Linked DNA regions of Macaca mulatta. The protein of the gene in region 1 interacts with the protein of each later gene in a pairwise test. Links are inferred from orthologs where the notes say so. Each region holds a gene or a part of one and is shown in the gene's direction. Other genes may lie near its edges.

Region 1 (4,406 bases):
ATTTTTAGTAAAGACGGGTTTCGCCATGTTGCCCAGGCTGGTCTTGAACTCCTGACCTCAAGAGATCTGCCCGCCTCGGCCTCTCAAAGTGCTGGGATTACACGTGTAAGCCACTGCATCCGGCATTGTCAAACTTTTTTTGTTCATATCACCCTCCTTAGGAGAAAACCCGAATTATTCTAAAATTGAATTTACATCAACTAAATTAATTTCAATTTAATTACATTTAATATCTCCCTAAAGGCAGAAACTAAATACTTAGGAATAAGATGGCTGATAGAGCTGGCTTTAGAAGACCACAATAGCTAAGATTTTTTTCCTCCCTGAAAAGCAGTTTTTTCCCCTGGGGAGTCATCATGAATCACTCCAACTGAGGACGGTTGTGCTTAGAGCAAGCAGCTGAGCCATAAACAAGTAAATGCACAAAATTATACCGGAAAGCCAAGAAGGCTACAAAGAAAAGAAGAGGGAGTGGCTGGGGAGGGGGGCGACTTGGCATCTGAATCATTGAGATCGGGAAAGAAGATAAGGAACAGTTTAAGCAAAAGGATTGTTTTCCCTGAGCTTTGGTTTCTTTTTTCTTTTTTTTTTCTATTTTAGAGACAGGGGTTCTCACTATGCTGCCCAGGCTGGTCTCAAACTCCTGGCCTCAAGCGATCCCCACACCTCAGTCTCCCAAAGTGCAGGATTACAGGCATGCGCCACCGGACCCAGTCTGAGCCTCAGTTTCCTCAGCTGTAAAATGGAAGTAATATCCTCCTCACCGTGCTTCATATACAACAAGCACTCAATAAGTGAGCCTTGTTATGATTATTATTATTTATTTTAATTTTACTTCTTTTTCTCAGACAGAGTCTCACTCTGCAGCCCAGGCTAGACTGCAGTGGTGTGATTTCGGCTCACTGCAGCCTCCGCCTCGTGGGTTCAAGCGATTCTCCCGCCTCAGCCTCCCGAGTCCCTGGGATTATAGGCGCCCGCCACCACGCCTGGCTAATTTTGGTTTTTTGTGTGTGTGGGTTTTTTTTTGTTTTGTTTTGTTTTTTGAGACGGTGTCTCGCTCTGTCGCCAGGGTGGAGTGCAGTGGCGCAATCTCAGCTCACTGCAACCTCCACCTCCCGGGTTCAAGCGATTCTCCTGCCTCAGCCTCCAATCTGTAGCTAGGACTACAGACGCGCACTACCACGCCCAGCTAATTTTTGTATTTTTAGTAGTGACGGGGTTTCGCCACGCTGGCCAAGCTGGTCTCGAACTCCTTACCTCAGGTGATCCGCCCGCCTCGATCTCCCAAAGTGAGGGGATTACAGGCTTGAGCCACCGCGCCCCGCCTATTTTAATTTTAAAGGTTAATAGGACCAGCACTGAAATCAGCCTCTGCCCCGCCAGCCCTGCTCTGGTACCAGCAGCGTTCAGCAGCACACACAGCCGCGTGCGCCTCCACCTCCGTCCGCAGGTGTCGTTGTGGGTGCCGCGGCTGGGCCTCTCTAGCGGCGACGGCGACACCGGAAGTCTCGTTTTCCACCCACTTCCGCTCTCTGGCCAGGCTTGGGCTGCGTGGAGAATACTTTTTGCGATGCCTACTGGAGACTTTGAGTGAGTCCGGGATCGCGGAGGGGGGCATGGGAAGCGGTTGGGGTGCTCTGGGCAGTATTATGGGGCCTGGGTGTGCCGAGGCTGCGGGGACCGGGCCTTGCTGACTTAATCTTCGCTTCCCACACATTTGTTTCCGCAGTTCGAAGCCCAGTTGGGCTGACCAGGTGGAGGAGGAGGGGGAGGACGGTAAGTGTACCCGGTCGCCCGGGGTAATCGCGGCCAGGCCCGAGCCGGGCGACTGACGCCTGCTTCCATCTCGCAGTCTGGCACCGTGTCCCCCGTCACGACCAGCCCCTGCCCCGCGCCATCCTCCTTGGGACCTGCCTGTTGCCAACTCCAGGTGTTCCCGGGCGGGTCCCTGTTCCTCCCATGTTACTGCCGAAGTCCTCCCAGCTGTTGCCTTACTCCAGGGAGGAAGTTGTAATCTCCCGTCTCCTGTTTGTCTACTGGCGCCTGGTTGGCTTCATGGCCTGGCACCCACCTTCCTACGAGGGATCCCCCATCTTTGCCACTCCAAGTCCCCACAGGGCTATCCCAGTGCGCTGCCTGGTCAGCCCTCTGCCCTTGGCCTGCCTTTCTCAGCTCTTGCTGTAGGCATCATCCCAAAGGCCCTTCCATCGCAGCTGGGGAGCTCCTGCCCTGGACCTGACCCCTCCTCCCCACGCTGCCTCTTGCAGACAAATGTGTCACCAGCGAGCTCCTCAAGGGGATCCCTCTGGCCACTGGCGACACCAGCCCAGAGCCAGAGCTACTGCCGGGAGGTGAGTGAGGACTGCCACTCCGTGTCCGGGTTGCCTCTCCCTCCAGCCCTGCCGCTCCTGATCCCCATGACCCAGGACTCAGTCCTTCTGTTTTTCCCCTTCTCCCAGCTCCACTGCCACCTCCCAAGGAAGTCATCAACGGAAACATAAAGACAGTGACAGAGTACAAGATAGATGAGGATGGCAAGAAGTTCAAGGTGAGGGTAGGGGGTCCCTTAGACCAGAAGGCGGCGGGGTGTGCTGAGGGGGTTGGTAAAGGAGATCCCCTAGTCCCAGAAGCCTGACCCTTCTCCCCTGCCATCCTCAGATTGTCCGCACCTTCAGGATTGAGACCCGGAAGGCTTCAAAGGCTGTTGCAAGGAGGAAGGTGAGGCGCTCCTTCCCCAGGGCTAACCCAGAGGAATTGGGAAACCGTGCTCCGGGACCTTTTTGTTAAGAGATGGGGCTTAACTCTTTTTTTTTTTTTTTTTTTTGAGACAGAGTGTCGCTCTGTCCCCCAGGCTGTAGTGCAGTGGCACGATCTCGACTCACTGCAACCTCCGCCTCCTGGGTTCAAGTGATTCTCCTGCCTCAGCCTCCTGAGTAGCTGGGATTACAGGCATGCGCCACCACGCCCAGCTGATTTTTGTACTTTTAGTAGAGACGGGGTTTTGCCATGTTGGCCAGGCTCGTCTCGAACTCCTGACCTCACGTTATCCACCTGCCTCGGCCTCCCAAAGTGTTGGGATTACAGCCGTGAGCCATCGCACCCAGCCGGGCTTAACTCTTTGTACCTATTTTGTTGAAGCTGAACTGAGGCCTGGAGTGCTTACACTCTCTTGGGACTCTGGAAAGTCCAGGGCATAGGAGTCGATGATAAATAGCGATTAAATGATAAATATCTAATAAAAGTTTGATGATAGATATCAAATTATATTAATAAATGTCAAATAAATTCCATTATAAATATCGAGTGAAAGTTAGATTCTTTTAATTTTTTTAAAGACACAGGGTCCAGTTCTGTTGCCCAGGTTGGAGTGCAGTGGCACGATCATAGCTTACTGCAGCCTTGAACTCCCAGGCTCAAGCCAACCTGGGATTACAGGTGTGCACTGCCACACCCGGCTAATTTTAATTATTTGTAGAGATGGGGTTTCACTATGTTGCCCAGGCTGGTCTCTAGCTCCTGGGCTTAAGAGATCCTCCCACCTTTGCCTCTCAAATTGCTGGGATTACAGGAGGGAGCCACCGGGCCCAGCCGGGGTTAGATTCTTGTTCCTCTTGGCCTGTCAGCCTGGAGGAACAGAGGCAGGAGGTGGTCGCAGCAGTTAGAAGCATTAGCAATAAATACACTTAGAACAGCTTGCTGTGCACTTAATTGTAACATACCCCATGGCAAACGCCTTGCAGGGAGTGTCTCTCTGATTCAGTCTCCTTAGGAGCCCAGGGAGGCAGGAAGCTTTTGTGGTTCCCGTTTGATAAGGGAGGAAGGGAGGAAGCTGAGGCTCAGGTTGTCTAGCTCAAGGGCCAGGAGGTCTGGGTAGACCCCTGCACATCCCTGAGTATCACGCCCTGGTGGGAGCTGGTCCGCCAGCCTGCACAGGCCCCAGGCTGTACAGCTGTCACCTGGAGCTTGGGCCTGGCGTGTACTCAGGAAATGGGAACTGTCGCCAGGACTATTTGGGGAGTGGTTGAGGAGGATGAAAATGGGGTTCGAGGCCCAGGTACTCTGGGGATGGCTGCTGTAGGTCTAGGGTATCCCACTGTGGAACCCTGCCTGCCCCTGCCCTCAACTGTCCCCCATCCCCCCCTGAGCCCAGAACTGGAAGAAGTTCGGGAACTCGGAGTTTGACCCCCCGGGACCCAATGTGGCCACCACCACCGTCAGTGATGACGTCTCTATGACGTTCATCACCAGCAAAGAGGTGAGCAGGGCGATCGGGGGGGCTGGCGTGCTGGGGTGGGGCACAGGGGGTGCCTCAGCCGCCTCTGAGCTCCCACAACCCGCCCCTGCCAGGACCTGAACTGCCAGGAGGAGGAGGACCCCATGAACAAACTCAAGGGCCAGAAGATCGT
Region 2 (4,397 bases), on another chromosome or scaffold:
GCCGTGGGGCTCCATGGAAAGCAGTTCCCAGCGCCCGTGCAGGAAGTGGAGGGGCCATGCTGTGGGCAGGCATGGGTGAAGGTGCAGCCTCTCCCCAATCTACCTCACTCGCTCCTCTTTCACCCGGGGCTGGGTCGGCCTTGCTGGGTGAGGAGCTGTCGGCAGGGCAGCTGGCATCAGCGCCCACTGCCTGCTCCTCAGTGCAGAGCATGCTGTGGGTGCATCCGCCCCTGTAGCCGCAGAAGGGCCGTGGCTCTGAAGCAGCCCGCTGATGGGGATGGCAGAAGGGGCGGGCAGGCAGCCTGGTGAGGGCACAGCTGGTGCCTGGGGTGTTACCAGAGCACAGGGACACCCACAGGCAGAGAGGCAGAGGAGAAACCAGTTCCAGGCTGCGGGGAGGTCTCCAGAACATGACCTGCACCCTTCCCTCCACCTGCCCGGCCTGTAGAGTTGCTCCGACCTGGGAAGCCCTCCATTCTGCCTCCCTCTCCAGCCTTGGAAGGACGCACCCACTGGGAGCCGGCGCTGGCCCTGGCGTGTGGGTCCTGGGCTCCTCCTCGCACCATCCTTCCCTGCCTCTGGTCTGGGATTTTGGAGTCTGTCCGGGCCCTGAATGCTGGGGCTTCCTGGCTCAGGGCTGCTGGTTCCCAAGGTCCAGGCTGCGGCGGGGGCCGCGAGGATGCAGCTGCTTGAATGTATTTTTTATGAAATTCCGTTAAAGCTCCTTCTCTTCATCTCTCCTGCCCACTGGTTTCTTTTGCTGCAGCTGAGCGTTCTCTTTATCCTCCGTTTTCGGTAACCACTTTGGCGGTTCTTTTAAAAGGAGGCGAAAACGCGGGCAGCGCCGGCAACGCTCCTCCCGGTCCCGCGGCAGGAGCGGCGGCAGTTCTTCCCCTCTTCTAGGTGCCCTCCTGTCACCCAGGGCAGACGCCGGGCGGTGGACCGGTCCGCGCCACTTCAGGGCCACTCGCAACAACCGACGGCCGCGAGTTGCCCGCGGGGCCCCTTTCTTAGGGCTGCCCCTCTGACCTGAAACTCGCTTCGACCATGTCCTCCTTCGAGCGGGAGAGGGTTGTGGCTGGCCCGGGTCCTGCAGCCCCTGCCTTCTCTACCTGGGTGAGGGGAACGGGGAAAGTGGTGCGACCAGGGCAGATGCTGTTCCTTCTCCCACCGGGTCCCCACCACGCCCTCTGCAGGCTCCTCCCACGCCGCGCAGCCCAGCGGCGTCTCCCGGCCCGGTGCACCTGAGCTCCGGGGAGGGCCGGGTGCGGAGCCACGCGCAAGATCGAGGATCCGGCAGGTCCGGCGTGGGCCCGGACAGGGCCGAGGCGCACCGGGTGAAGAGGTGACGAGCCGAGCGAGTTCCGCCTGCGGCTGAGTGGCAGCGTAGCAGGATGCCACGCGGGCGAGGTGGCTTCCGGGGCGGCCTGGAGGCCAGGGCAGTGCCCCGGGGGCTCGGCAGGTGGCGCCGGCGAGCCGGCCCTTCCCCGGCGCTGCGCGAGGAGATGAGCTCACGGCGGCCCCCGCAGCGCCGGACGCTGGTTGCGCGCTCCCAGCGGCCGAGCGGCCCCGGGCACGCGCGCGCGCGCCGCCGGCCCGACAGGTGGGTCCCGGCGCCCACGCCGCCTCTCCCGCCCGCGGGATCCTGCGCCGTGGGCTACGCAGTCGGCCCTGTGCTGCTGGAAGGGGCGTTCTGGGCACGGGGGGAGCGGTCGAGGGCTGGAGACCCTAAAGGCGCCTCCTATGGCCAGAGGGGAGCCTCCGGCGGGAGCCACCTCTCGGGGGCGCATCATCCTGCCCCCCACTGTAAGAGGAAAGCTCCATAATGGAGCTTAGGAATTAGGAGTCTCGAGTGAGTAAGGCCGGGTTACAGCCACTCGGGAGCCGGTCCCACCAGTCTGTCCCGGGGAGAAGCTGGCCCGGGTCTAGGGGGCGGACAGGGCGCCTGCGTTCCTACCTACGCAGGCCGGCCCCATCCGGGGGATGCAGCGGCGGGTGTTTAGACCGAAGGACTAGGCAAAAGCCAGAAAGGGAGGGTTGGGGAGAGGGCCTTGGAGCCCTGCTGGGGACAGAGTCGCACCGCTTGGAGTTCCCAGCCTGGCCTTCACCCGGCATCTTGCTGGGCCAGCAGCGTCAGGCCGGTTTATTTAAGCAACCGTAACGTCCGCCCGCACACACCCTGCCCCAGTCCACTCCTCCCTCCCGCTGGGACTGGAGGGTGGGCGCTTTCCTGCTTCAGCTTCTCGCTCTTGTGTAATCCCACAAGCAAGGGGTTTCTAAACTGAGCAGCAGGTGCCTGGCTGATGCCCAGTCCCCGCCAGAAGCCAAGCCTGGTGGGCCGTCAGCCAACCACCGCACGCCACGAACCGCCCTGGAGCCCCTGTCCGAGCGCCGTCAGCCCCGCCCAGGGTCTGCAGGACGGAACCCGCCCTGCGCTCCACACCTGAGGCCGCTCCCTTCGCCTCTTCTCTTCCCCAGGTGCTGTCCTTAGTCCCAGCCCAGTCAAGAGATACTGGGGCTGGCTAGTCATGGGAGAGCCCAGTAGAGAGGAGTATAAAATCCAGTCCTTTGATGCAGAGACCCAGCAGCTGCTGAAGACAGCACTCAAAGGTGAGCACGGGACCCCTTCCTGAGCTGGGGTCAGGAGCCACAGAGAAGGGCCCCTGTAGGCAGCACCAGAGGCTGAGCCTGGTGAATGCCTCCACCCCTCCTCTCATTCTCTGACGATAGGAATCGGCAACGTAATTCTTGAACTGGAGACAAGCTACATTGAGGCCATTATTTTGGAGTATGAATCAGTCACCTCTCAGACTGTAAAGACTTTTTAAAAAGTTTAACCATAGGGCTGGGCGCAGTGGCTCATGCCTGTAGTTCCAGCACTTTGGAAAGCCAAGGTGGGCAGATTGCTTGAGTCCAGGAGTTCAAGACCAGTCCGGGAAACATGGTGTAAACCCCATCTCTACAAAATAAAAAATTGGGCCGGGCGCGGTGGCTCAAGCCTGTAATCCCAGCACTTTGGGAGGCCGAGATGGGCGGATCACGAGGTCAGGAGATCGAGACCATCCTGGCTAACACTGTGAAACCCCGTCGCTACTTAAAAAAAAAAAATACAAAAAACTAGCCGGGCGAGGTGGCGGGCGCCTGTAGTCCCAGCTACTCGGGAGGCTGAGGCAGGAGAATGGCGTAAACCCGGGAGGCGGAGCTTGCAGTGAGCTGAGATCCGGCCACTGCGCTCCAGCCTGGGGGACAGAGCGAGACTCCGTCTCAAAAAAAAATAAATAAATAAAAAAAATAAAAAAAAAATTGAAAAATTAGCCGGTCATGGTGGCACGCACCTGTGGTCCCAGCTACTTAAAATGCTGAGGTGGGAGGATTGATTGAGCCTGGGGGGGTGAGGGTGCCATGAGCCATGATCCTGCCACTACATTCCAGCCTGGCTAACAAAGCAAGACCCTGTCTCAAGAACAACAACAAAAGGTTTAATCATAAAAAAAAGAACACAGCTCCTGCCCTTGAAGCGCTTACATTTGAATTGCTCGTTTCTGTGCTGCCATAGCCCCGTCTCTTGAATGCACAGCTGCGTGCTTTGAGACAGGTGGAGAATATTCCGTCTGCCAGAGGAGCTATAGTAATTGCCCTCGCCTGATGCCTTCCCGCTGTAACACGCAGGACAGAAGTTTGTCTTCAACTAATAATTAGCAGCACCCATCATGTGCCAAGCCGAGCCTGCTGGGAGGCCCTGTGTCTTATAAAAACACTATTTCTGGCCGGGCGCGGTGGCTCAAGCCTGTAATCCCAGCACTCTGGGAGGCTGAGACCGGCGGATCACGAGGTCAGGAGATCGAGACCATCCTGGCTAACACGGTAAAACCCCGTGTCTACTAAAAAAAATACAAAAAAAACTAGCCGGGCGAGGTGGTGGGCGCCTGTAGTCCCAGCTACTCGGGAGGCTGAGGCAGGAGAATGGCATAAACCCAGGAGGCGGAACTTGCAGTGAGCCGAGATCCGGCCACTGCGCTCCAGCCTGGGCAACAGAGGGAGACTCCGTCTCAAAAAAAAAAAAACAAACTTGTGAAACTGCTGTTGGAGGCATGTCCTGGTTAGTATTCCTTCCTCAACCTAGTGCCAGGAAAAGATGTGTTTCCTGAGAAACTACATTCTTACTTTGATTGGTTCCTACCAGCCACATAACCCCTCCCCATTTTCTCTGACTGGGCAACAGTCAGCAGACAGACAGGCTAAAGCTGTTTGTTTGTATGGTTACTGTCCTCTGTATGGTTTCTTTTCTCTTTTTTTTTTTTTTTTTTTTTTTTTTGAGGCGGAGTCTCGCTCTGTCGCCCAGGCTGGAGTGCAGTGGCGCGATCTCGGCTCACTGCAAGCTCCGCCTCCCGGGTACC

Evidence for each region.
Region 2: the proteins of EIF3G (region 1) and MIF4GD interact in binary tests that used the Homo sapiens proteins (3 or more experiments, as listed by UniProt). The link is inferred for Macaca mulatta from reciprocal best matches to the Homo sapiens genes EIF3G and MIF4GD.

What each region holds. Positions count from the first base shown.
Region 1 is NC_133424.1:10,826,944-10,831,349, reverse strand, and holds the start of EIF3G (eukaryotic translation initiation factor 3 subunit G), read left to right. Parts: upstream 1-1,530; 5' UTR 1,531-1,570; coding exon 1,571-1,590; intron 1,591-1,729; coding exon 1,730-1,776; intron 1,777-2,267; coding exon 2,268-2,351; intron 2,352-2,459; coding exon 2,460-2,548; intron 2,549-2,658; coding exon 2,659-2,718; intron 2,719-4,150; coding exon 4,151-4,255; intron 4,256-4,347; coding exon 4,348-4,406. UniProt on the Homo sapiens protein: RNA-binding component of the eukaryotic translation initiation factor 3 (eIF-3) complex, which is required for several steps in the initiation of protein synthesis.
Region 2 is NC_133421.1:84,959,647-84,964,043, reverse strand, and holds the start of MIF4GD (MIF4G domain-containing protein), read left to right. Parts: upstream 1-1,554; 5' UTR 1,555-1,603; exon of another isoform or gene 1,604-1,852; intron 1,853-2,001; exon of another isoform or gene 2,002-2,157; intron 2,158-2,478; 5' UTR 2,479-2,528; coding exon 2,529-2,610; intron 2,611-3,556; coding exon 3,557-3,676; intron 3,677-4,397. UniProt on the Homo sapiens protein: Functions in replication-dependent translation of histone mRNAs which differ from other eukaryotic mRNAs in that they do not end with a poly-A tail but a stem-loop. May participate in circularizing those mRNAs specifically enhancing their translation.